Linked DNA regions of Sus scrofa. The protein of the gene in region 6 purifies or fractionates together with the protein of the main gene of each other region. This does not show direct contact. Links are inferred from orthologs where the notes say so. Each region holds a gene or a part of one and is shown on either strand. Other genes may lie near its edges.

Region 1 (2,654 bases), on a different chromosome or scaffold from region 6:
TCGTAGAAAGTAACTGGATTTTTAAAAAACATCTCAAATGCTCATATTAATATTGTTGATTTTTCCTTCTTTTATGACTAAACATACATAAATTCAAAAACAAAATCTTTTCAAATAACTCTTGCCATGGTTAACAAAACTTGCCTTTTATCAAGAACCTTCATATAAACTCACATTTCTGATAAATCAAAATATTCTGCATTGCTTTAAAAGGGGAAACAAAAAACAAGGTTTGTAAAATGGCATCGATAAAATCCTTAGTGATCAACGTGAGCTAACAGTTACAAGTTTTTTTCCCAAAAGTTCTACTTAATAAGAAAAAAAAAAAAGTAATCTGCTAGAACTCTACCCTTCCTTTTTAAGTAAATATACCTCTTTATGGTAACTTCAGTATCTGAAATTAAGAATCGCCAAATAAAATGCTAAGAAAAAATAAATCACACAGATTTTCCAACCCCATATCACTGCAATTATTTTAAATGCATAGGAATACAACAAACTCAAAAGAAAAAAAAATAGTGTTTTATTAACTACCACACTGTTATAATACACTTTAAACGTACAATAAGGTAGCCTTTAAATTTGAGGTGGTCTTAAGAATAACAAATGAACAGAATTCCAAATTTCTGAAATAGGTGAACTGCTGCAGTTACAGGTATACATTTAGGAAACTTGTATAGCTCTTATAAGACCAGCAATGAAACTTTATTTTGTACATTTTTTAATAATTGAAAATATAAACAATAATTAAAAAATAAAAAGAAAATACAGCATAATAAAAAACATACATTTCTCAATTAATTGTATTGGATACATATAAATTTTAAGGAAAAAGCAAAAAAGAAAATGGTTGATATTTAAGTGCAGACTACCTAGACCAAAAACAAACAAACAAACAAAAAAAAGACTTAAAAAAATATCATAAAACCTCTAGTTTTCTATGACTAATATCCATATGGTTGGAGTATCGTCACTATGGAAGTAATTTTGTTATGTTTGCATATGTTATACTTTATTGGTAATTTACATGATGGCTTTTAAGGCCCTGGCAGACATATGGGTTTTGGAAACAAGATTGGATTTAAAAATCACTGCTAAGACGCAATACACCTTATTTTTTGGTCCTCCAATATTCAAGAAAAGGGATAATACACTATAACATTTTCTTACCACCCAAATGCCTCAACCTATACATTTTAAACTTTTTTAAACATTGGTTATATTGCCCAACTTCGTTACTGAAAGAATATTAACAAGACATTATTTTGGCAAATTAAATCTTAAACATGGCTTTTCGACAGGATTTAAAAGGTGACTATCCCTAGAGTTCCATGTTAAAATGTAGTTTTCAAAATCTTACAAGAGTAATGCTTAAAATATTGTACATAGTTAACCTAATTAAAATAATTAGCTTCAAAATGACAAATTGATAAGCTAAGTAAAGCCTACACTATGTAACATTTGCTTGGAAACTTGATTTGTCAGTTATGCATAATAAAAATTCCAGTCATCAAGAAAATTACAAAAATTTTTATCATAACATGATTTCTTTCACCCACCAACTTTTTTTTTTATCTTACAATAGATAAATACCAACATGTTCTCATTTTTACACTAAACCACACAGGATTGATGCATTTGGTTAGACTACCATTCGCATTGTTAAATTCAATTTTCTCTTTATATAACTTGGTAAAATTTCATTTCTTCTAGATTCCAAAAGTACCTACAAAACCCATGCAATTTTACCATTTTTAATATACTATGGAATATCATACAAAGTAAGGCATTTCAGTGTCATGTATAACCAAGTTACTGTCAATCCAAAAATTTTTGCACATCAATAAAAAGATATCTAAGAACTTAGGAACAATATTCTTCTCACTACTGTATAAAAATAACCACAATGAATAAGTATTTGTGTAATATTTACTCCATTGTCTCATTTCCAGAAACTGTGACAAGCTGTAAAGGTATTTCAGTGTTGGTAAGGATATCTTGATTGCTGGTGGTGGAAGTATTAACAGTTCCTATCCCTGAAACAGAACCTTGTTGAATATTTGCAAGGATAAGTGTTGTTCCTCCTGCAGTAATCAAAGTATCATCTCGTGCAGCTTCCACAGATGCCAGCACTGTACTGCTAGAGTGAATACCTTTCTTATTCTGATGTGTTTTAATATGTTTGGCAAGGTGATCACTTCTCATAAAGCGTTTTGAACATTCTGGACAAACAAATTTCTTCTCACCTGTTAAAAAAATTAAGTTACTTAGTTTTAATTCACCATAAACAGACTGATCATTTCCTGAGAAAGAAAATAAACCATCACTGACAGTTAGGGACAGGGAGCAGAGTTCAATTAGAATTGTATTAGTTTCATGAGCTTATCCCTACAAAATCTCTCATAGAATATTCCTCCTCAAAATAAATCTGTCAACTCTATTTTTAGGGGAAAAGCAATCTTCAAACTCATTAGACTATACACTGATAGATAAGAATTCAATACCTCAACTAGACTAGTTTGTTTTGAAACATCTGTCACAGGATACCAATTTTAAAATGACCATCTAGAACATACTTTCTTCTTTAAAGAAAAATACAGTTTTAAGGTATTAACATGTCAGAGCTTTGCCACTTAACCTTCAACCCTTACTAT
Region 2 (4,175 bases), on a different chromosome or scaffold from region 6:
TGCGTCCACTCACACTTCTCTGATTTATGGACTTTAAAGATGTATAGACAACAGGGTTGGTTTCAGGATGGCCCATCATGTTTCATCAACTGTACCAACACTTGAGTGCTGGTCACGGCTGTTGCCTTTTAAGGAAGTGATTTTTGGAGTTCCCGTTGTGGCTCAGTAGGTTAAGAACCCGACTAACAGCCATGAAGATGCAGGTTTGATCCCTGGCCTCGCTCCGTGGATTAAGGATCTGGCTTCCGATCAAGCTGCGGTGTAGGTCACAGATGCCGCTAGGATCTTGCGTTGCTGTGGCTGTGGTGCAGGCTGGCAGCTGCAGCTCTGATTTGACTCGTAGCCTGGGAACTGCCATGTGCTTTGGGTGTGGCCCTAAAAAAAAAAAAAAAATCTTTTTACCTGGGAAGAGAGTTATACCGCCCATCCTCATGGCCACCTCGTAGCAACGCAACTCCCAGGACAGTGTGGGTCTGGGGAGAAAGGTCTCCAGAGTCTCCTGGGCCCTGCCCCCGTAACCTCACCCGGGAGACCTGGTTAGCTCCCACCCTGAAAGCCCCCATGACCCTTGGGTGGCAGGTCCCCTCTGGACTCTGGAACTAAGCCCAGGTGCTCTCTCTGGGGCTGAGGCGGTGCTCACCCTGACACCTGCTTCAGCCACATCTGGCTGCTTCCCAGGGACCCCACCCCCACCCCAGACCTAGGCAAGTCCCTGCCCTTGGCTTCGAGCAGCTGTCCTGGGGACTCCTGTCCAGGCTGCTCCGCCCAGACACGCCCTCCTCGGTCCCTGGAACCCAAGCACAAGGCCAGGGTTTCCCAGAGAAACCCTCCCGCGTTTGTGCCGCTGCCTCCCACGACCTTGCAGCCGCCAGGAGTCCAAAGGACATTCAAACCACCGGTACCCAGAAGCGCATTCGCTCGCCCAGCCGCCAGCAGGAAGGTGCGAGACCGGTGCGGCCCCGAGGGTGCGGATGACAGCAAGTTCAGCCCATCAGTCAAGGCCCAGTGGATTACAAGCAGGTGGGGCCTGGCAGGTTCAGGGCTGGTGAACGTGGGGGCAGGTGGGATCTGGAGGGTTCGGGGCAGGTGCGTGTGCGGGCAGGCGGGGCCTTGGGGCTTCTCAGCAAGTGAGTCTGCATGTGCTGGGCAGGTGCATGTGCGGGTGCGGGGCGGCGCGGCCGGCGGGGGCGGGGGAGCCCGCAGGCCGGGCGCGGCGGGCGCGGCGGGCGGGGCGGGCGGGCGCGGCCTGCAGCCGTCCGCGTGGTCCTGCGCGGCGCCCGCGCCTGGAAACAGGAGGCCGCCGCGCCGGAAGCCCCGCCCGCGCGCGCGCCCTGTCCCCGCCCGGTGGAGCGGCTGCTGGCGCGGCGCGGCGGCTCGGCACGGCGGCGCCCGGCGCAGGCGAGCGGGTGGAGCAGCGGACGGCGCCCAGGCCGCCCCACGCGCCGGGCTCGCGGCGGAGCGCGCCGGACTCGTCGGAGCCCGCGGCCGCCCGCGCCTTTCAATGGGCAGCTCGCACTTGCTCAACAAGGGCCTGCCGCTCGGTAAGGCCGCGCGCGCGCATTTCCGGCCGCGGGGGCGGGGCGGGGCGGGGCCGCGGGGGCGGGCGGGGCGGGCGCGGGCCCGGCTTTGTGTGCGAGTGCGCGTGCGCGCCGGCGCCGGCGCGCCTCCGGCCGGGGGCGGGGCCCGGGAGCGCCGCGCGCGTGCGCGTGCTGCTGCGTGCGAGTGCGCGTGCGCCGCCGCCCGACCCGCCTGCGCAGGTGACACAAAGGGGCGCGGGGGCCCTGGGACCCCCGCACCCAGGGTGCAGGCCCCGCCAGGCTGGCGCAGCCCTTGCTGGTGGGGCCCTGCGGAGCGGTCTGGCGCGCCGATCGGGGACCCGGCGTCGCTCGTGGCCGGACTGCGGAGCCGAAGCGGCCCTCCGCGAATCCGCGGCGCGGTGTCTTCCCTCACGCTTTGCTCGCCCTTTCGATCCCCACCGGCTTATGAAACGTCCGAAGTGCTGCGTCTGCCGAGGCGGCGCCCTTCCCGCTCACCAGGCGGAGGTGGCAGCAGGGCGCCCGCCTCCTTCTCTGAGCCTGTCTGTTTCCACCTGAGTACCTAGAGTGGTGTGACCCGCTTCTGTTTGTCCCCAGGCACCTTATGCCGCTCTTGTTTTGAGAAGTGACAGGAGCAGGCACCATCCGTGCCCCCGGCAGCACTGGGGCCCTGAGCCTGGGGCTGGCCGGGGAAGGCCGGGTGGGGGGCCCCCCCGGGGTGGTGTTGGTTTGCTGGCCGCTGTCTACATCCCTATCCGGCCACTTCCGCCGCGTCGTGCCCACCTGTCCTGCCACCTTGCACAGTCCCTGCTCCTCCTGGCTTCCAGTAGCTGGCCTAGGGCCTCCTTGTGATTGGGGTGGCGGGAGAGGCGCCACCCGCAGCTTCTTCCGTCCTCTCCTGCCGCCCAGCCACTGGAGCCTATAGATCAGGGATCGCGGACCAGGTTGGGGGGGGGAACTAGCATGGCCCCTGAGCTTTGGGCGGAGCTTTCTCTAGCTGGTGCCAACCTGCAGGCTAGGGAAGGCGCGCCCCTGGGCTTGCAGAGGGAGGGCCTTTAAGCAGGCAGCCGGAACTTGGCTGGGGCAGCCCCCTTTCTGGTGATGCTCTTCTCTGTGATTGGTTAGGAGCCATCACCCTCGAGAAGCGGGATGGGATGGGTTCGCTTCCGGGTGCTCTGAGTTGAGGAGACCGAGGTGAGCCCCTCATCCAGCTCCTGCTTCTCTCTCTTCTCGGGGTGGCTGGAGAGTCGGGTTGCAGATGGGGGCCCAGAGCCTGGACCACCGTCACATCCATGGAGGCGTCCCCCCCCAGCTCCCTCCTTCTCCCTCTGCACAGGTCGCAGTTTCATTTGCCTGAAAACATATGCAGGCAAACACTAAGGAGGAAGCCGCTTCTCAGCAGCGTGAACGTTTGGGGGTGCCCTGTGGGTCAGTGCAGCCTGTCCACTCTTGTGAGCCTCTGGAGGAGTGACCACAGCAGGCAGGAGCACAGACCTGCCTCCGGGGGCCCTGGCTGAGCCCTGGTGACTGGGGCATAATCTTGGGCCCTTTATGGGACCGTCTGTACGTATCTCTAAAGTGGGCCGGCAGTGTGAGACGTGGGGTCACATGAGTGGGCCCGTGCCAGGGGCAGGGCCCGTGCCAGGGGCAGGGCCGGGACTGGGGACTTGGGGGCAGGGAGGGACACGGCTGGGGGAAGGGCCAGGGGCCAAGGACAGGGCTGGGACCAGGCCCATGGAGCAGAGGACAGGGCAGGGCCGGGGGCAGCGCCTCTGCTGTAGCTGCGTGGGCTCGGCGTCATTGTCCTTCCTGTCCCAGAATGTCAGCTGTGTGGGTCCTGCCGGCCCTCGTCGCGGTGGCGTCTCTGGCTGGGGCCGCCTCGGTCTGGGGCTGCCCTTCCTGCAGGCGGTCTGTCTGTCCACAGGCTGGGTTTTACCGTGGTCTCTGGGCGTGCACGTGTTTTGGTTGGGGCGTCGCTGCTTGGGAAGGCTGGGCTGTGTCTGTCCCCCGGCAGGCACGTGCACCCTTCATTCTCCTGCTCCAGGGAGCAGGGGCGGCTGGGCCGCGGTGTCTGGGCAGCTGGACCTTCCTCCCTCCCAGCTGCGTGCGGGGTTCCCCTTCCCGCCTCTTCAGCCTCAGGACACTCAGGAGGGGGTGCCTGGTTCTGTGGGCAGCCCCTACTCAGCCCCTGGTCCGAGAGGCTGGAGCCACCCCTGTGCCTGCAGCGGGGAGGGTGATTTTCTGATGAGCGGCTGCATGGAGGGCCCGGCCGAGCTGAGCTCCTCTCCGCCCCAGCAGGGCCCTTGGGGTCGGCCAGCAGCAGCTGTCGCTTGGCGGGGGCTTCTTTGGGCAGCTGGCCGCGCGAAGGCACTGGGGCCACGATGGGGCTTTTCTCTCTGATGGTTTGCCCCCTCCCCTGGCCGTCCTGTGTCAGCGCCCTGGGGCCTTGCCTGCCGTGGGACTGAGAGATTTGCCCCCAGAGCCCCTTCCCGGGAGAGCCTAGTGCTGGTCCCTGGCTCCGGGCAGAGGCAGCTGTGTCTGAGGCTTTTTGTCCTGTGGGAACGCTCCTTCTAGAAGACTCCTAGTTTCCCCCGCTGGTGGCGTGGGCGCAGGGCTCAGAGCCCGGGGGGCACGTCCGTC
Region 3 (3,500 bases), on a different chromosome or scaffold from region 6:
CTTCATCCAGAAAGACAATGCCACAGTGCACACATTTTGTTGAAAGTTCATCTTGAGTACTTCTATCAACTTTCTCTGTTTTTACTACATTCAAGGGACCTTCATTTTTTACATTTGACGGTGCCTTCGTTTTCTCCTTGGAGGCACCGTTTGCAGTTGGCCCAGGTCTGGAATGCTTGATCGCCAAATCTAGAGGAATGTCATTGTCTGATCCAACAGCTGAAAAATGAGGAGGCAGATTGAAGGTGGGATAAGGCACATAGTTTTGGCAAGGATTTGGTAGGCCAGGCACATGACTCAAGTAGTGCGGATTCCCAGGAACGGAGAGCTTATATTTACTCCAGAACCGCAGCCAATCAGCTTCACTCTGGAAGTCATTATGTACAAAGGGAAGTCCAAAAAGTGGGTACTGGTACTTTTCAATAGGGCTGCCTGGTGGTGAATAGTTGGGGTGCTTGGCGGGTCTCATGTACTTTTCTATGGGACTGCCTCTCTCAGAACTTCCTTTCCCTTCAGATACGGATGAACTATTTCCTGGGTCTCCAGTACTTTCCTGAGGACTTTTTATCTGAATGTGCAAAGGTTGCATCCTTTTGTGAATATCCAGAGTTTGGCTGACCAGGACTGGCTGCTGAGCAGAATGGCTTTTAGTCAATGAACCCTGGGCTTCGTATTTGCTCAAGCTTGGGAGAGGAATTTCTCTCTGGTGACCCTCAGTTAAATGATCTTCTGACCTCCTCTCTAAGGGGCTTCCGTTGACTTGCTCCTCACTGCCGCCCCTCTGCTGCTTGTTGAGCTGCTCAGCCTGAAGTGCCTCTGGGTTAAGGCGCTTTCGTGTTCTTCTCCTAATAATCTGCTCACCGTTGTTTTGTTTAATGATGTTTAAAGGCCTGGGAGTCTGCGGGGAACACACACACAATACATAAAAGGGAAACATTAAAACATACATTAAAATGCATTAACAATTCCTCGCAAATATAAACCATGCTTAAGTTCAAAGCAAAGATAGGTTTTATGTTATAGATTTACTAAATCTCCTTCTTTTGCCCTAAGCAGGATCAGAGGAAGTAACCGAAGCACACTATTTTACCCTAATTAAATCATGCCCATCTTTACAGAGAGGACTGAAAAACTTTAATCTGCTTGAAAACAGCTTTTCCAAGCTCAATAGATTTTGGAATTGGATCATTTAGTGATAAAACTGTATAGAAAGTTACTTGAAGCAATGTGATTTTTATGAAATATTTCTCAACTTTTGAGTCCTGCACCAAGATGTCAGCACAGTAACAGGGGAGACAAGTTTTTTTAGACAAATGTGGAAAAGTTGTACATTACTGTAGTCTGACCTGTGGCCCTCTTGCCCCTCATTTCACAGGTTGAAGCTTTACCCCTCAATGTGATCATATCTGAAGATAAGGTTTTGAGGAGATAAATGAGGTTAAATGAGGACACAGCCAGAAGGCAGCTACTACAAACTAGGAAGAGGGCTCTCTCTGGAACTCAAGCACACCAGTGCCCCGATCTCAGACTTCTGGCCTCTGGAACTGTGTGAAAATATATTTCTGTTGTTGAAGCCACCTAAATTGCTGGAATTTTGTTAGGCCAACCCCAGGAGACTGATATATATATTCTTCTAAATAAAGGCAAGTGTGAATATAAAATATTAAAGATCATAAATGTAATCAAAGACTAACCAACAGAACTGTAAGAAAAGATATCAGGTAATCGAAGCCATTTCAGTGAGGGAGTTTTGTTTTGTTTTTTTCCTTCTGAGGCATATGGAAGTTCCTGGGCTAGGGGTCCAATTGGAGCTGTGGCTGCTAGCCTACACCACAGCCACAGCAACACCGTCCGAGCCACATTCTTCGATCTACACTGAAGCTCATGGCAATGCTGGATCTATAACCCATTGAACCAGGCCAGGGATTAAACTTGCATCCTCATAGATACTTTGTCAGGTTCTTAACCCACTGAGAGGACTGAAAAACTTTAATCTGCTTGAAAACAAGAGAGGACTGAACAGGAACTCCTGTGAGAAGGTTTTGTTTTGTTTTTTTTTTTAATATTCTTTAAAATAAAATTACTCACTTTGATTTCTTTTCCTTTAATTATATAAGTATCCACTATGGAAGACTTTACTTATGGACAGGTGAAGTATTTGTTTTCTGCTGAAAATCTAAATTTATTTGTCGTCTCAGTTCAACTATCCAAGCTGTCGTTTTACTCTATACTTAAACTGACTTTCACTTAAGTATGCTATTTGACTTAAGCAGTATATGATTGGTATTTATGTACATGTTCAACAGGTGTTTATATTACATGACTTAAATCCATAGTTAAGACTATAATAAAAACTTCCTTGCAGTAAGAGCTCTAACTTTGATTTATAAAATCAAAAGAACATGTTTAATAAATTATTGCATATTTATAGCTTAAAAATTTAGAAGAATCCTTAAATGGGCTAAAATCTGATTTTTCTAAAAGATTACCGAAATCAGGAAATAATTTCTACATAAAATATGAATATAAACTATACATAATTTGTGAATTATACCTAGAAAGGATGCACTTTAATGCAAGAGAGTATTCTGCTATATGTTAAGCAAAAGATAAATCCTTTTGGAATGTTTTTCTTGTCACAAGAATATTTTGAAGGAAAACACATTTGTTATTGACAAGTAAATTACTGGTTTTCAGAATGAAAATGCCACATCTTTTGGCTATTCCATGTTCATTTACTTTGTTCAGAATTTCAGGTTTATAAAGCGCTCATGTTCATATTATAAAAATATGCGGTATTTAATCTCTGTCCTCTAAAGAAATCTGAAATTTGCATTAACACCTTTTTTAAAATTTCAAAATTTTGTGGAAGTCTTTGACAGGAAATGTGAGCCTAACCTTTATGTATTTAAATTTATGATTTAAAAACCCTTCAAAATTGAAAACATCTCACCTGTGGAGAGAGGAATATTTAAATAATTGTAAAAAAAAAAGTTTAGTTTATTTAACAGTTGTTAAAATACCTTAACTGGGAAGAGCAGTAGTTTAATTAATTTTTGGCCTTTGATTGGCCAGAGTTCAATTAAAACTGTTAATGTCAGTACTCATTAAATGGAAGCTTATTACTGTGCTTAACTGGTGAAGGTTAAAATAAAGGAAAGTGATGGTGGTGGATGGGTGGGAATCCTTCTACTAGCTACATGCTAATAACTAAGATTTTTACAGTTTGCCACCAATTAGTATTGTTGGCCTCATGCATTTTTTTAAAGAGTGCTTCTAATGGTCCATTTATGAGGACATTTTGGTCTAAAAATGTATTCCCTGTCGCTGTAATCTATTCATTGCCTTGTGCTAAGAGCTGGGGTAAAAATGCCAAACAAAATGAAAAAGGCAGAGGGAAATAGACTGCTGTTTACTAATCATTCTTATTAATTCCTATTTTTAAAGGCAGCTCTTGTCAACAGATGAACTTTCTAAACTAAAAAAGTATCCTTCAGGAA
Region 4 (3,969 bases), on a different chromosome or scaffold from region 6:
GGGTTTGCCTATCAGGCTAAAGATTTTTGGAATAAAGAAAAAGCCTTGTATTCTAAGAATAAATTTAGAGCAAAGTTTGAAAAGATAGACACATTTAAAGAGTACTTACTCTTATCTGATCCACAATTTTCCTTATTTGGGGTTCGAATCCCATATCCAGCATTCTATCTGCTTCATCAAGGACAAGGTAGGTGGTCCGTCTTAGATTGGTTTTCCCACATTCTAAAAAGTCAATCAGTCTTCCAGGTGTCGCGATACAGATTTCCACACCTTTAAACACAAAAATGTAACCAAGACATCTAGAATTTTAGCACCACCAGTGACAAATCAAACACTTTCTGTTTTGTACCTCTCTCCAAATCACGTATCTGTGGTCCCTTAGGAGCACCACCGTAGATGCAGGTGGACTTCAAGCGACACGCTCTACAGTATTCAGCAGCTACTTGCTGTACCTGTTGGGCCAGTTCTCGAGTTGGTGCCAGCACCAAGCACTAAGAAAAGAGAAAGTGGAATGAATACCTTTCAGCAGAGTTCCGGAGTCTACTTTTGAAGTGATGATATATCAGTGTTACAGCAGCACATGACTTATTTTGCTGTCCAATACCTAGAGCAGATTTGTTTCCAGATAAATGGTACAAAACAGCTAACGTCTCCACTTAAAATCACCACAAATTGTCATTTGCTTTCTACTGGACAAATCTCTGTACTTTTAAACAAAGCTTAAGGTATACTTACAATAGGTCCATCACCTCTCTCTAGGAATGGCTGATGATTGATGTGGACAATAGCAGGGAGCAAATACTGTTCAGAGAAGGGGCAAACAGAAGTTACACATTAAAATATTTCTGGTTTCTTTTAACTTCCAACCCATTTCCTCAATCACTCGACACAGAATTACAAGTTGCCCAACTTACAGATAATGTTTTCCCAGATCCAGTTTGTGCTACCCCAACCATATCCAATCCACTTAGAGCAACAGGCCATCCCTGAGCTTGAATAGCAGTGGGTTCAGTAAAGTTCTGCCTCGCAATCACATCCATTACGTTTGCTGTAATCATAAACAAGTAAGTTAAAATTAGAAATGCCGAGAGAAAGAATTTTTTTTTAAGGTAGGGAAAACTAGCACTTACCAGGAAAGTTTGCTTCATAAAAATTCAGAACTGGCTTTGGGCAGTTGTGACCTCTAACTGTAATTTCCTTGCTTCTTCTGTATGTCTCTACCTCTTGCTACAAAACAAATTACAAAAATCCAGTTGTCTTCTCATGACAACTCCCCTTAACTGAAAATGCAACCAATAAGCTCCTAAATTCATAATTGACTTAACTACTTTAAGATGGCCTTTTAAAATTTGGATCCATATAAAAACCCTAAACAAACAAAAACCACTTATTACGTTACACCCAACCATTTTAAGTAGAAAAAGTCACTTGTCTCCAAAAGTGAGTAGTAACTCCTCTTCCCCAAAGTAAGTAAGATCCTTACTTACTCAGCATGAGTTCCCCAAAACTTAGTTATGTGCAGGGAACTTCTAGTCAGATTTTGATTCACTGCAAAGTTATTAATTATTGAATTACAGCCTGAAGAAACCACATGAAATTACTTACTGCTGTTCGCCTAGCCAAATCAGGGTGTTCTTGATAAAAATTCTTCTCAAATTTGGGCAGCTCATCAAGATTCCACTTCTTTTTAACCAGTTTCTCCCCAGGGTTTCCAAACTTCTTTCCAGATAAGGGCCCTGCCCTACTTCCTCCAAATCGAGGCGCACCAAACCTGAAATTAAAAAGTCACATCTTCGAACACGTACAGACATATTAACCACCCCTTGGCACATGCTAAATATCAAAGACTTCCAGGTGGAACAGACGGTCATTCTCTCAAAAGCCACAATTAGCACCGCATCCTTTTCATTTCCCGTTGTACCAAGTACACGCCATTGAACCCAAATCATCAGCCCGGGATTTCACAGGTCGGAAAGTGGCTGCCCGAATGCCAGAAGTTCAGATTACAAGGAGCGTCAATAGTTGGGGCTACTAATCTCTCCCATGAACTTAAAAACTAAATATCTGAGAGAAAGACAAGAAAGGATAAGCCTAACAGCGATGTTATCTACCAGCTGTTCTCAAGCAAAGGAGCTTTGATTTTAATAGATAACGGAACAGCACACAGAGCAGAAAAAGGTGGGTTATCTCGCGGACACTTACGCAAGCCGAATGACTTGGAGAGATGCCCCAGAAAGGACCGCGATCAAGGTAGCAAAATTATATAAACGTAAGGAAAAAGAAAAGGAGGCGTTGGAGACTACCGGGGGAGGAGTCCCTGCCGGGCGGAGTCGGCCGGGCGGCGTTCCCGCTGGGGCGGCGCTTCCCCCTTTGTCTCGCATTTCTCTCTGCGCCACATTTTCTCGACGCTGCCATTTTGAGCTCCTCCGCCGGGCGGGGTAACAAAGGCGCCGCCGCCATGTCCGATGCCGGCATTTTGTACCCGCGGCTCAGCCACATGGCCGATTCCCGCGGTGCCGGTCACCGTCCTGCCCCCGCCGCAATAACGGCATCGGAGACGGCCCCCTCGCCACCCACAAAATTCCTGGGGCCCCCAAAACACCTTCCGAAAGGTTGCACCTAACAGCAGCGATTTCGTCCGCCTCGAAGCGCTGCGCTCCCCTCCCTTCGAAATACGCTCCTTGGAATTCTCCCAAGAGCTGATAAATCATCGAGGCCGCGATGCCCCATCCCAGACAAAAGAAGAGATCTCGAGAACCATTAACATGAAACTCCCAGGCAGTTTCAAAAATATCAAAATGGCGCAAGCCTTTGAGGGACGAGGCCCAAACATAGGCTGAGGAAGCCGAATTCCCGTCGCCACCCCGCCCCCCCGCATCGGCATCCCATCCCCCACCCACAGGGCCTGACAGGTCAGTTCCCACACTCACCCTCGATCCCGGCCGCGGTCTCGGTCACTTGAATAACTCGACATGGCGTCAATGGTTGCGGTTGGCGGGAAACAAAGCACAGAGAATCGGGTGCGACAAGTCGCTGGAGGTGGCTTCGACGACGGCGAAGCCTTGCGGGGGCGGCAGCGGCGGAGGGACGGCGATGACAGGAGCCCAAGCTGCCCGACAAGAGACCGGTGGAAATGAATGAGGTGCCGGCCGCGTCCCGGCAGCCGGTTTTATAGCCTGGACCGCCTCCTCCGCCGCAGAGAACGCTGGGAGCTGCTCTATGACCTAATCACCCCGCCCCTGCGCCGAGGCCGCACCGCCCGCGGGCGTTCCGAAATCCGCCATGTTCTCGCCCCTCCTTCTCCTCCCCCCACCCAAACCATCCCTCCCGTTTTTCACTCCTTTCAAGGGTGGGTCCATCCACCCACTACTGGGAAGCCTCAGTTTTTACTCTCTTGACTTCACCTTTTCCTTGTCTTCCACACTTCAAGGAAGTCGCCCCGCCCTTTTTCAGGTCCAGCACGAACAATGAAATGGCCCACCCAGACCAAGCCACTTGGTTCTCTTGGAAATGTTTACGTCTCCAAAGGGCCCTCACGCCCACAACCCGGCGAGACGGGTAGGCGGAGCCTGACATTGTCACGTGACTCCCCCCCCGCCCACCGGGTGAGCGGGCCGCACTACTTTTCCAGATGGCGTCGGCGGAGGAGTACAAAACGAAATCGCTCGCCGGAAGTGCAGTGCTATTGCCCGGGGAGACCGGCCAGGTCGGCTGGTTGACCCGCGGGGCTGTTAAACCCACCCACCTGAGAACTCCTTAGCGGGATCTGGTCGGCGGAGAATGGTATTTAGAGCTCGCAAACCGCCGCCCCAGCGCGTGCTGCGAAAGGAAGTGGTCCTGTGGTGACCAATCAGCAACGAGAAGCGGTTTTAACGTCCCTCCCTTTTTAATCCCTCCTTCCCGGCACTTTCGTTTGCTTCCCCCTCCTGTCAGCACTGGGTCTGCGGCGTGCGGCCCTCCCTGAGCTCC
Region 5 (3,943 bases), on a different chromosome or scaffold from region 6:
GCCAGACTTGGCTATTACATTAACAAGAAAATTAAAACTTACTGTTGCAGGAGCTGGGGTGGGAGGTGGGGCATAAGATGGTCTTTCTGTTTGAAAGAAAATAAATAACTTCTTGTAAACAACTGAGATATAATACTATGCAACAAAACTACCAATGGTCCTGTTTTGAAGAAAAAAAATGAGAGTATTTTGGAATTCCCATTTGCTAGGGCATTAGTCTCTTATTAATATAGATTGATAAATATAAAAAATGAAACTTACTTGACATTTTGGAAGATTAAGTTCTCAGTTCCTTAAGAATGAATCTGAGACACTAAAATAAAAAAAAGAAAAAAAAAGAAAAAAAAAGATAATCAAAACTCGGTAAGCAGAAGAGAGAATTTTTCCCTAAAGAAAAGGGTAGTTTAATTGGTATTTCTTAGTAAAATTACATTATCTTCTAGTAATCAAGCTTTTTAAAATTTTTACTAGCCTTTAGGTCATTTGGTTGATCAGAATTAAATGACTAAAACAAATTACTGGGGATATTAAAAAGTAATATTAGGCATGTACTCAAAAGGTTTTGTTTTTTTTTTTTTGGGATACCGAGCCACCTCTTGTATTGAAAACAATTTGCCGATGCCATGGCAATACTTAACCAGATTGATAAAAATATAGTGACAATAGAATGTGATGTATTATCGGGGCCTACCTCAACAAGGCCTACCAGATCAGCCGCAGCTCTGCCTTCCTTTTGGGACAACAACTTCTATTAAAATGGAGCCATATTTTATTCCGGGAGGCAGTGCAAAAGGCAATTGGTGTGGTCATGAACTTTACATTCTCTTACGGTGATAAATAGCTTTATAACTGCTGGGAATACATTTTGAGAGTCTCCCTGAAAAAACTCTTTATTAAACCTTTCAGCCCGTTTCAAAATGTAGCTTCCTCAATGGAGCTTTCCTGACAAATCACTCGTGCAGAATGAATTGCTTCCTCATCTGCACTCCTACCCAATTTACACAGCTCTATGGTATCCTATTAAACCTGTTCACACGGCTAGACTGGAAACAGGGACCATCGAATTCATTATTGTAGTCCCAGGACCCGCCTCAATCCTTGAGGAATTTTGTCTTGGTATTACCAGCCCACTGCGTGACCGTGCACACACGAGCATCTTCCTTACCTCAAAACATATCACACACGGTGCCTACAAAGACATGTCATTTTTTTTTTTTTAAAGGCAAACAACTTGTATGGCTATTGGAGTACTTTCATCCAACATTATGTGAAACAAACATGATTTTAGTTTTTTGCTTCTATTTTGCATTTGAAGGGAATTCCTGAAGCATTATGAATAAGAGGCATGGTGTGGAAAAAAAAAAAAAAAAAAAAAAAGGTGTTTCTCAATGGCCCGACCTGGGAATCTCCCTCTCTCCTTAAGGAACAGGCAGGAAACTACTGAGTCAGGTGCAGATTTCCTCCCTGCTCACTTTCAGGTAGGCTGTCAACGTCCAGTAGGCCTTGCTGTGGGGAGCCCTGACAATAACTGCCACAGACTCCCTGGTACATCACACTTGATTGTTAATACTTTAAAATTACTGATCTCCTTTGCTAGACTCTAAACTCCATGAGTGAACTTGTACATTTGTCCACCACCGGATCCATCCCTGGATCCGGCGCCTGGCATAAAACCCTAGATAAATATTTGAATACCTTACACCGGGACAGGCTTATTACTTACACCATCTGGTTTCACAGTCACAACTACCAACGAGATGTGTGTATTCCCATTTTACAGAGGAAAAAAAGGGAGTCTCAGCGAGTTTAAGTAACCTGTCCAAAAACACACCGCCAAAAAGCGCCAGAGTTGGGTTTCAAACCCAGGCCAGTCTGTTTCCGAACCACATCGTGAGTCCTCAGCTCGCTGCCTGAAGCAAGGGGAAACAACCTTCCTGGGGGTGAGGAGCACGGGCTTGGCTTGCCCCAAGGGCTTCCTCTGAGGTCGTATCCTTTAGGTTTGTTGTGAAGGATGCACTTGAGCAGCAACTCTACTAAAGAGGAGTGGGCAGGGGTGCTTTGATCAATTTCGCGGGGTTAGTGGAAGGGGCGCATCTGGCCGCTAAGAAGGAGCCCCAGATGGGACTGCTTCCCCACCCTCGCTCCGCTAGGCCTCGGAGAGGCCGCAACTGGCCCCTGGCTCCGGCCCCGCGGCCGAGCCTGAACCCCAGCAACCCCGGGGAACTCCGGGTCCGGCCAAGCCAGGACACCACGCCTCGGCACCCTCCCAACCCAGTCCGGCCCAGTCGGGAACACTCACCCGCGGGCAGAAAAAGCGCCCGCAGCTCCGGCCTCGCTTCCCTTTGTCCCGCGCACGCCCCGCCCCTCGCGTCCGGAGCTTCCGCACTCGCACTTTCAACACTCTTCTGAATTCCTTTCCAAGCCCCACCAGACTCTCTTTAGAAAAATAAACCTTCTCGAGGGGGCGCGGTGGTGCTTAGTACAGTCAAGGATTTTTTTCAGGCTCCATGTGTTCCTCAAAACTCCCCGAATTTGGGCATTTGCCAGCCGGCGCCGATTCGTCACGGCGGAGAGGGCGGAGGTGGCCCGACCGCGGGGCAGGCCCGGACCCCGGGCGGTGAGGAGCTGGAGCGGCAACCGGTGACGCGGCGGGAGGTGCGAGGCTGCGCCGAGGGGAGGTGGGAGCGCGGCCTCGGCTTCCCCGCGCGGGGCCGGAAGGCGGCGGGAAGCGCGCCCGGCCGCGAGCCCCGGAACCACTGTGGCCGCGCGGGCCGCGCGCCACCCGGGCGAGGCTGGGGCTGCGCACGCTCCCGCCTCCGCGGGCTTTTTTTTTTCTTTTCTTTTTTTTCTTTCTTTCTTCCGGTCTTCGTTCCTGTTTCTGTGGGAGCCGGAGTGTATACGTCAACAAGTCGGGGATGGAGGCGTGGAGCGCCCGGTTCGCCGAGTTTGCGTTGTCCCGCGCGCCTCCCAGGGCTGCCTGCCTTAAAGGCCGGGCAGGAGCTTGGCGAAAGCACCGTGGCACTTTTCTAGGTCTCCCAAGCGCGAGCCTGGTGTGACTGGCACAGGTTTCTGATCCAAGGCCCGGAAATGTTAATCCTCTTGCCCCAGGTTGTGTACCCTTGCAGCTCTTGGCAAGGGTCCCTGTCCCAAGGCGCCTTGGCTCATTCGGTTCCCTCCCCTGGGAACGATGGTTTTCACTTTTTAGCTTAAATGCAAGTGACCTTCTGGATCCAGCTCAAATTCTGTTTGTGATGCCCTTCGGAAGCTCTCTTCTCCACCCTTAATCCTTCCTCTAACTCCCAAGGTTCTTTGGTAGCATTATTATAGACTTTACCTGATACATTGTATCAGACCGTCTTTGTCATCTTCCGTTTAACAGGAGAGCCTCCAAAGCAAAGGTTCAGTCTTGATCATCTTGGCATCGCCAGTACCCAGGAGGAGCTTGACTCATTGTCAGATGATCAGTAAACACGTTATGGAGGCAGATTCTGGCCTAGACCAGGGCTCTTTCTACTAAATCATAAATAAGTTGGTTTACTGAATGGATAGTAGCCTTTCCTTGGATATATAAACACTTGGCCGATGTTGCAGGCCACAGTGGAGGGAGAAGGATCTGAAATTACCCGAAAACACTGTTGACGTTTAGAGTGACTGCGTGAATTCCTCTGCTACCCTTAGCCGCCATCCGCCATCCTGAGTGTGCCATCAGAGACTAGGGCAACTCTAGAAGTCTGCCAAGCCAGAGAACGAGTGACTCTCTGTCTAGTTCTTCCACCTCCAATATTTTTATACTCATGATTAGAGATGAGTGAAATTGAAAAGCATATTGAAGGGAAAGACTGAAAAAGAAATCATCAAAGGATGACGGGCAGCCTGAGTGGTGCTTGTGGTAATGTACACGAAGTTGCTTTTTTAAAATATAAAGGCATTGGAGTTCCCTGGT
Region 6 (3,500 bases):
TTTCTACAAGCTACATGGTCAAAATTAACAGGTCAACTGAAACCTGTGCTCACTGCCATTACTGCACATTGGTATCAGGTATCCATCAAGAAATGTACCACGGAGTTCCAGTCATGGTGCAGTGGTTAACGAATCCGACTAGGAACCATGAGGTTGCAGGTTCAATCCCTGGCCTTGCTGCTCAGTGGGTTAAGGATCTGGCGTTGCTGTGAGCTGTGGTGCAGGCTGCAGACGCGGCTCGGATCCTGCACTGCTGTGGCTCTGGTGTAGGCTGGCGGCTACAGCTTCAAATGGACCCCTAACCTAGGAATCTCCATATGCCATGGGAGCAGCCCACGAAAATGGCAAAAAGACAAAAAAAGAAATGCACCAGGTGCTGAGAATACAGAGATTTAAGACACTGTATTCTCTAGCCATGAACACGTCAATCCAGCAGAGAGCTATATAAAATCCCTCATGAGGTGCTATACTACGATGTCTTAAAATAAAATAAAATGATCAAGGTATGTATTAGTGCTCCGGGAACTCAGAAAAAAGATAATACTTTCTGGTAGCAAATTCAATGCCCTAAAGCATCTATTTTCTCAATAAACTGACAGCATTTTTAAAGTTAAGACATCAGAAAGTTATGATCTCCCAGCCCAGCTTCCAAATCCCTTCCTTTCTATAGTTTTTGTTTCCTTCAAACAATTTCTGAACAAAGCCTATTCTCTGAGCCTTTTCAAAATGGTGAAACTGGTATAAGGATAGATAATGTGGCCCTTTTGTGTTTTATTCCTATCAAATAAACTTACAGGTAGTTAAAAACTCTCTTAGGATTTCAGCTTTGCTGACAGGCTACAAATGGATCTAAAACTACCTTGTCCTCTCTCTTACCCAATCTGTATCATAATGCAATGTTGACTATTTTAAGCCTATGTCACTAAGAAGAGATCGTTTCCTATATTATAAAAGCAAATGTGACTAATAACATTTAGCTCTAAATAACATGGGGGGGGTGTCACCTACTTGGCACACCTACCCCCTCTCCAATACCCGTGCAATTGACCTCAGGATCTCGTAACAACTGCAGTGCAGCTCATTTTTAAAAATTTACAATTAAAACACATTTACCTGCTTTTTTGTCCTCTGTTTCCTTCTTGTCTTCTTCAATTCTAGCTTTCTTTGCTCCTTTCTTATGATCAGCCACATTTCTACGGCCTCCTTCCCCTTCGTCCTCTGAATCTGAGAATTCTTCATCACACGCTATCCGTTTGTCTGATGCTCGAACTAATACATTAAAGATTTTTAATATAGTTTTGACAAAAGCAATCTCAATGTCTGACAACTGTTATAGTGCACTCCTGTACAAATGAACTAGCCAGTTACAACATTTAAAAGTATAGAAGTTCCCGATGTAGTTCAGTGGGTTAAGAACCAGACAGAGTGTCCATGAGGATGCAGGTTTGACCTCTGGCCTCGCTCAGTGGATTAAGCATCCAATGTTGCTGTGAGCTGTGGTACAGGTTGCAGATGCAGCTCTGATCTAGTGTTGCCGTGGCTGTGGCGTAGGCCTCAGGTACAGCTCTGATTCGACCCCTAGCCTGGGAACTTACATATGCCACAGGTGCAGCCCTATAAAGAAAAAAAATTTGGATAACAGATGCCTAATGATTTTGAGATAAGAACTGAATGTATGGCTTGCTAAATTCTGAAAATACAGCTTTAATCCAGGAGTAATTCAAAGTTACTCCTCATTAAAAAACAAAACAAACTGCTTAAGAGGAAAAAAAAAATTGTGCTTTCCTAATAGGAAGTGGGAATGATATCTTCATATAAAAAGTAACCTTTTTATTTCAGAGCAGAGAGAAATAAAAAATACTGTTAACACCAAGTATAGACCACACAATTATGCTATAAATCTACACATCATAGCAAGTGAAATTAGAGACTGTAACATCAAACAGAAGGTGCTCAATGTCATTCAACTCACTCTACATAAATGGTTCATTTGTGGAAACTTCTGATCATATATGTAGTTATATAAACTGAAATTGCTGATACTCAAATTAGGCTCTGAGACAGTGGAAATTAAATCTATGGAAGATTAAAGAGGGCAAGAAAAGACAGTAGTAATAGTATACTCACGAAACGTGAACCACAGTGAGGTTCTTGGGCCACCAAAAAAAAAACCTTCAATTTGTAGTGATCTTTTAATAAACCAGAAAATATAACAGAACCCACATAAGGGCACTATCTTACTAGAAATTCTCTTGTCTGGATCTTCTCCATCTTCATCTCCACTGTCTTCATGAACTGCATCTTCTGGAATAGCTTGCATTTGGACACCAGGTGCATGAGGCAACATGCGTAAATTTTCAAATAAACGCTGTCTAAATTACAACATGTACAATTATTAGAAAATATTATTTTCTTTCAAGGCCCTTTTAAATGTAAGAGGAAACATTAAGCAAAAACTGGCTCTTCTATCTAGCTTAACCTATGAAGTAAAATATTATCATTTACTAAACAGATACTTTACATATTACTAACCCTTAAAATTTACATGATATATATTTCACCCCCCATCTTAAGGAGAAGGAAATATAAACACAAAGGCAGGTTAACTTGCCAAATGTCACGGAGCTGCTGTGTGGTATAGAGGACACAAACCCAGGCCTGGGTAGTACAATGTCTAACACTTTACTCTTTAAGGTAAAGCGTTATCAAAATGTTTCAATACAGATAAATTTCATTTTCGTGTAAAGCAAGAAAGTTTAAAATTTGGTGTCCTTTTCAATTTAAAAATCCATCTTGGCGTTCCCACCGTGGTGCAGCTGGTTAAGGATCCAGCATTGGTGCACTCTGGCTTGAATTTGTTCCGTGGCTTGGAACTTTCATATGCTGCAAGCTAGCCAGAAAGTAAGAAAAATCTATATCGACTAATACAAGATGTAAATTTTGTTTTGTTTTGTTTTGTTTTAGGGATGCACTGGCCGCATATGGAGTTTTCCCAGGCTAAGGGTCCAATCAGAGCTGTGGCCGCCAGCCTACACCACAGCCACAGCAATGTGGGATCTGAGCCACCTCTGTGACCTACACCACAGCTCACAGCAATGCCAGATCCTTAAACCACTGAGAGAGGCCAGGGATTGAACCCGCAACCTCAGTTTTCTAGTCGGATTCGTTTCTACTGCGCCATGATGGGAACTCTGAAAACTCCGAAAATGTATGAATCCCATACATTCTCCATTATCGTATAAAATTAAATCAATAAAGTTTTCAACTGCTTTTGACAAAGATAAATACCTTACATATAAAGCTTAACATGACCTACTGCACTTGGCCTTCGAAAGGCTCCTAAAGCTATATCAAGATGAGGGTTTATCAAATCAATTCAATGATGTCTTACTTTATCTTTTCCATATATTCTGGAGTGTTCTGGTTTGTCATGTTTGAAGGACTAATATGCAGCTTGAAGTCCGGTCCAAAATACTCAAAGTAATCATTATATGGCAATT
Region 7 (4,276 bases), on a different chromosome or scaffold from region 6:
AGTCTTTATGGCACAATGAAGTATTTACAAATAAAATATGATATTTATGAGTTGTTTTAAAATGCTTTTGGTGGGGAGCTAACATAGGGAGTTTTTTTCCTTAATTTTTAGTTTTATCAGAAGTAAGTTACCTCTGAATAATAGACTTGTTCCTAGCTTTAGTTTATATTTTTCTATTTTCCAAATTTTCTATGGTGATTTAAAATAATTTTTAAAATGAGAAAAATATTTTCAAAAAATTTTAAGACAATCCTTACCAATACTCCATCCACAGATGAAACCTTCTCCCAAGTTAACCAAGCTCTTTCTCTGACATGATCTGCTATCTTTAATTTCTGACATAATGTAGTAAAATCAGGTTCTTCAGTTTCTTCAAATGCAAGCCTACCAAATGAAAATATAATATAAAAGGCACTTTTATAATCAAATTAATTACGTAAGCATTGGTTTCACTGGTTTGCATATAATATAGCACTATTCTGAAAGACATCACCAAATACTTTGGGATCTTAACTATCGCTTAAAAAATTACACTTAGAATTTAAACGTATGTTGATCTTTTCAGTATTTCCAAAATAAGAGTACCACATAGTGAAAAATGTTTGCTGGCCTGGTAAATCATAGGAACTTCAGTGCAGCAACATAGCTTTGGGAAGAAAAGCAAGTACAATAGCTACAGCTGTTAGGAAAAATTGGGACAGTAACAGAAAAGGAAAGCCATAGATAACATTACAGAACCAATTCAGTATCGGTGACTTTGCTAAAATGCAGTCCACTCTCAACAACGATTCATTTAATCTCTCTACCTACTACTAGTGTTTCTTATATGATTAAATTATTGATATGCTTATTTCAGCCTTTTCTCCTTGATCTTCCTTAACCAAGATAGGCAGTCAAAAAATTCTTGTTGGCTAATTCTTATTCATTCACTTAATATCTATTTGACATAAGAATAGTATAGTACAAGGAACAGCTAATAATTTTTTAGTATTTACTATGCTCCATATGAACAGGATTTAAATGAATTGATGGGGTTTAGATGCATGGTTTAATACATACATAAGCCCTAACAGGTAAGTACTCTGATGATCACAAATCAGAGAAGTTAAAGCACTCACCTGAGATCACAGCGAGTAAGTGGGAAGCTCTAATATAAACCCAGTAATCTAACTCTCTAATCCATGCCCCTGACCCTATTCCAGACTGCCAAACCTCCTTTGAAACACAATTAACTTTTGGTTATCTCAAGAATGAAGACTGTGTGCTGTTCTGGTATTTCCAAAAGCCCACTTCAGTCCCTAACAATGTGTCCTAGGGCGGTGAAAGAAATAGGACTTGCTGACGGATCAGAACTGCAGGAAAGAGTGGTGAGGATCAGCAGAGTCCCATCCCCTGGCAATTGATGCGTAGTCTCAAAGGAGGGCCAGTGCTAACAATGATAATGACAATTACACTCTTTCGATCTTGGCTTCTAAACCGTAAAGCATCACAATCAAGAAAAATAAGATGCTGCAATAACTATCTCCCTATATTATCATGGACTCGCTGAAATTTAGAATCCACCTGGGGGGAAAATTAATTTTATGTGAGCACAAGAACACTAATCTTGTTCCCAAACAAATACAAAAGAGACACCAAGATCCTTGCTGGCTCAAAGCCAAAAGGCAAAATGGAAGAAAAAAAGAGGCAGCCTGAAGCAGACTATCATGCAAGAAGAGTTTTATGCAACAAGAAAAATGAGAACGTTCAGAAACTTCGAAGCTCTTGAGCTAAATGTCTCACAAAACTTTTACCGATACAACAAGTTCCTCTTAGAGAGCTATGTTCCACCAGTCACTACCGAAGGCTTAGAACTCAAAGCACTCTTTACAAGGGAACCCCGAAAAGCACCCCAGCCGAGCTCCCGGAGGGGCAACTGCCACCCAGAACCCTGCACTTCACGTCCGGTGGCATCTCTGCAGCAGTATCCAAGGTTTTCCTGGCTGGCCTCTCCCAGGACTGGGCTTCAGATGAGTCGCACGCCCAGAGGAAAACACTTCCAAATGTTGCACCGCGGGAGACCAAAACAGAAAGTCGAAAGACCACCGGAGGACTACAAATCTCAAATGGGGAAAAACCTCTCCAGCAATCTAGTCTTTCTTTTCTTTTTTTCTTTCTTCTGCATTTGATGGGGTCTGCAAACGACCCGCCGCCTGCGAGGCTCCCGTCTCGCGGAGGAAAGGCGGCACCTGTCACTTCGCTCAGCGACCCGAGCCCCACCCGCTCGACACCTGTCAAGCGGGAGCCGAAACCCCTCCCGGCCGCCCTCCCCTCGTTCCCGACCCCAGACCCCTGTCAGCCTCCTCCCGGCGCTCCGCCGCCGCGGGGGGCCGGGGAGGACCCTCCTCCCGCCGGGACCCGGCCCGGGCGGAGACGCGCCCCCGCCTAGACGCCGCGGCGCCCGCCGACGCACCCCCGGGGCGCCCTTCCCGCGCGCTGGCCGCCGCGACGGGTCGGCTCGCTCACCTGACCAGAGGCAGGTCCTCGGGGCCGCTGTCCTGCTCGGGGTCCTCCTCAGGCTGCGGTGGCGGCGGTGGCGGCGGCGGCGGCGGCGGCGGCGGGGGCTCCGCAGCAGCAGCGGCGGCGGCGGCGGCGGCGGCGGCTGCTCTCCGGGGGGTTTTGGGCGGCATGACGCCCTCCCAGGGCCGGTGCCGGCGAGCGCTGAAGGAGGGCCGGGGCAGGAGGACACGCGCACGTCAGGGCACGCCCCGTCCTCTCCCGACTCCCGTTACAAAAATAATTTGAACGTCCCCTGAGAAAAACCGGACGAGCCCTCCCCCGCCCGGCAACCGAGCGCCGCGTCCAACCGCGGGAAAACGTCACTTCCGCCCGCGGCGTCACGTCCGCGAGGCTCCCGGGCCCGCTGGCGTTTGGAGGGCACCGGGGCGCCGAGCGGGGCGCGGGGCGAGGGCGCGCGGTCGGGCGGGGAACCCGGGCCTGGAGATCCAGGCGCGCTCCCTGAGGCAGCCGCCGCCGCCTGAACCTGCCTCGCGCCGAAACTCGCCCCTCCAGGCTTGGGTGCCGGTAACCGGGCGCTACCCAGCCTGGTGGGTGAGAGCGGGCCCCACCTCAATCTGCGGGTGGATCTGGGGCCCGGCTCGAGCCCGCGGGGAATATCGGGCGAGCGCACCCTGGGCCGGCACGCCCCTCTCCTCCGCGGGCGTCGCCCTCGCTTTCGCCCGCCCTCCTCCCGCCCAATCCGTTAAGCGAATCGGCCAAAACAAAAACACTTCTGGAATGCCTGTTAGGAGCTGAGTTTGGCCAACCCCTAGGAGATCCCAAGGAGGGGACAATGACTGGCCTTTTAGAGCTCTTTTTAGGGAAAGGGGTGGGAGCTGTGAGCAAAGAACTGATTATCGGGTGCTAAGTGTTTTAATCGCGCTGTGAAAACTGAAGCCACGGTTGAAATGTTTAAGGGACTTCTTCCGAGGAGCAGTAGCATTTGAATGGAAGTTAGCCAGACAGACCTAACATTTAAGGAGGGCTTACTATATGTATAAAGAATTGTTCTGGCCATTTTACATAATTATCTTACTTAATCCTCACCAACATCCCCTTAAACTGAGTCGTAGTCGAATTCTACTTTCCAGTGCGGAAAACAGGTGCAGAGGAGTTAATTAATTTGCCTGATACTACAGAGATGATAGGTGGTAGAGGATTTGAACACAGATATATTTGACTCGACTTGTCCATTACATTATGTTAAAGAAATACCAAGAAAAGAGAAACAGCTTGTGCAAAGGCACAAAGACATCAGAGAAGAGTTTGCCGGAATTGCAACCATTAAACATTGGCTTAGAAACTGTCTCTTTTGTCTCTTGATATTTACTTATAATAAGAGATTGTCTTGTTTGAGAACATGTTTTTCCCTCATTGGCAAATGCTGTGTGTTGCCATGTCAAAGCTTCCCAGCTGAGGTGCTGTGAATAAAATACAGCTGTGCTCTTGAGGCGAATCCCCTCATCTTTGGAACAGCTGAGCAGGGCTGAAGCATGAGGCGCCCTCAGGCAAGTCATAGCTCTTGGTTTTATCCCGATGAGTCATACGAAGGATTACCATTTTTTTGTTAACCAGGGCATGTGCCAGAATGTGAAAAAAGGATTGGCCTAGTCAACAGCCAGTCTTGCCTCAGTTCGGAAACTCTCTGTCGGGGGCCAGAAGTTTATCAGGAGGTAGAGTTCATGCCCAGGCAGATCCATAGAGAGCAAATGGCACCAAAGTGGTAATTCCATTCACC

The links.
Region 1: the proteins of HDAC2 (region 6) and SP3 purify together in Homo sapiens (affinity purification with western blotting; 3 studies listed by BioGRID). This does not show direct contact. The link is inferred for Sus scrofa from reciprocal best matches to the Homo sapiens genes HDAC2 and SP3.
Region 2: the proteins of HDAC2 (region 6) and CTBP1 purify together in Homo sapiens (affinity purification with western blotting; 7 studies listed by BioGRID and IntAct, with this or other methods). This does not show direct contact. The link is inferred for Sus scrofa from reciprocal best matches to the Homo sapiens genes HDAC2 and CTBP1.
Region 3: the proteins of HDAC2 (region 6) and TRPS1 purify together in Homo sapiens (co-immunoprecipitation; 4 studies listed by BioGRID and IntAct, with this or other methods). This does not show direct contact. The link is inferred for Sus scrofa from reciprocal best matches to the Homo sapiens genes HDAC2 and TRPS1.
Region 4: the proteins of HDAC2 (region 6) and DDX5 purify together in Homo sapiens (affinity purification with western blotting; 3 studies listed by BioGRID, with this or other methods). This does not show direct contact. The link is inferred for Sus scrofa from reciprocal best matches to the Homo sapiens genes HDAC2 and DDX5.
Region 5: the proteins of HDAC2 (region 6) and SMARCE1 purify together in Homo sapiens (co-immunoprecipitation; 3 studies listed by BioGRID and IntAct, with this or other methods). This does not show direct contact. The link is inferred for Sus scrofa from reciprocal best matches to the Homo sapiens genes HDAC2 and SMARCE1.
Region 7: the proteins of HDAC2 (region 6) and RB1 purify together in Homo sapiens (affinity purification with western blotting; 4 studies listed by BioGRID and IntAct, with this or other methods). This does not show direct contact. The link is inferred for Sus scrofa from reciprocal best matches to the Homo sapiens genes HDAC2 and RB1.

The regions. Positions count from the first base shown.
Region 1 is NC_010457.5:79,935,486-79,938,139, forward strand, and holds the end of SP3 (transcription factor Sp3), read right to left. Parts: intron 2,247-2,654; coding exon 1,930-2,246; 3' UTR 501-1,929; downstream 1-500. UniProt on the Homo sapiens protein: Transcriptional factor that can act as an activator or repressor depending on isoform and/or post-translational modifications. Binds to GT and GC boxes promoter elements. Competes with SP1 for the GC-box promoters.
Region 2 is NC_010450.4:493,128-497,302, reverse strand, and holds the start of CTBP1 (C-terminal-binding protein 1), read left to right. Parts: upstream 1-1,375; 5' UTR 1,376-1,501; coding exon 1,502-1,541; intron 1,542-2,682; exon of another isoform or gene 2,683-3,098; intron 3,099-3,896; exon of another isoform or gene 3,897-4,175. UniProt on the Homo sapiens protein: Corepressor targeting diverse transcription regulators such as GLIS2 or BCL6. Has dehydrogenase activity. Involved in controlling the equilibrium between tubular and stacked structures in the Golgi complex.
Region 3 is NC_010446.5:23,153,627-23,157,126, reverse strand, and holds part of TRPS1 (zinc finger transcription factor Trps1), read right to left. Parts: intron 899-3,500; coding exon 1-898. UniProt on the Homo sapiens protein: Transcriptional repressor. Binds specifically to GATA sequences and represses expression of GATA-regulated genes at selected sites and stages in vertebrate development. Regulates chondrocyte proliferation and differentiation.
Region 4 is NC_010454.4:14,571,562-14,575,530, reverse strand, and holds the start of DDX5 (probable ATP-dependent RNA helicase DDX5), read right to left. Parts: upstream 2,801-3,969; 5' UTR 2,382-2,800; coding exon 2,203-2,381; intron 1,772-2,202; coding exon 1,606-1,771; intron 1,228-1,605; coding exon 1,131-1,227; intron 1,049-1,130; coding exon 915-1,048; intron 802-914; coding exon 736-801; intron 492-735; coding exon 350-491; intron 271-349; coding exon 110-270; intron 17-109; coding exon 1-16. UniProt on the Homo sapiens protein: Involved in the alternative regulation of pre-mRNA splicing; its RNA helicase activity is necessary for increasing tau exon 10 inclusion and occurs in a RBM4-dependent manner. Binds to the tau pre-mRNA in the stem-loop region downstream of exon 10.
Region 5 is NC_010454.4:21,783,267-21,787,209, reverse strand, and holds the start of SMARCE1 (SWI/SNF-related matrix-associated actin-dependent regulator of chromatin subfamily E member 1), read right to left. Parts: upstream 2,801-3,943; 5' UTR 2,300-2,800; intron 314-2,299; 5' UTR 269-313; coding exon 262-268; intron 87-261; coding exon 43-86; intron 1-42. UniProt on the Homo sapiens protein: Involved in transcriptional activation and repression of select genes by chromatin remodeling (alteration of DNA-nucleosome topology).
Region 6 is NC_010443.5:79,870,598-79,874,097, forward strand, and holds part of HDAC2 (histone deacetylase 2), read right to left. Parts: coding exon 3,392-3,500; intron 2,373-3,391; coding exon 2,242-2,372; intron 1,270-2,241; coding exon 1,114-1,269; intron 1-1,113. UniProt on the Homo sapiens protein: Histone deacetylase that catalyzes the deacetylation of lysine residues on the N-terminal part of the core histones (H2A, H2B, H3 and H4).
Region 7 is NC_010453.5:19,314,836-19,319,111, forward strand, and holds the start of RB1 (retinoblastoma-associated protein), read right to left. Parts: upstream 2,801-4,276; 5' UTR 2,670-2,800; coding exon 2,506-2,669; intron 385-2,505; coding exon 258-384; intron 1-257. UniProt on the Homo sapiens protein: Tumor suppressor that is a key regulator of the G1/S transition of the cell cycle. The hypophosphorylated form binds transcription regulators of the E2F family, preventing transcription of E2F-responsive genes.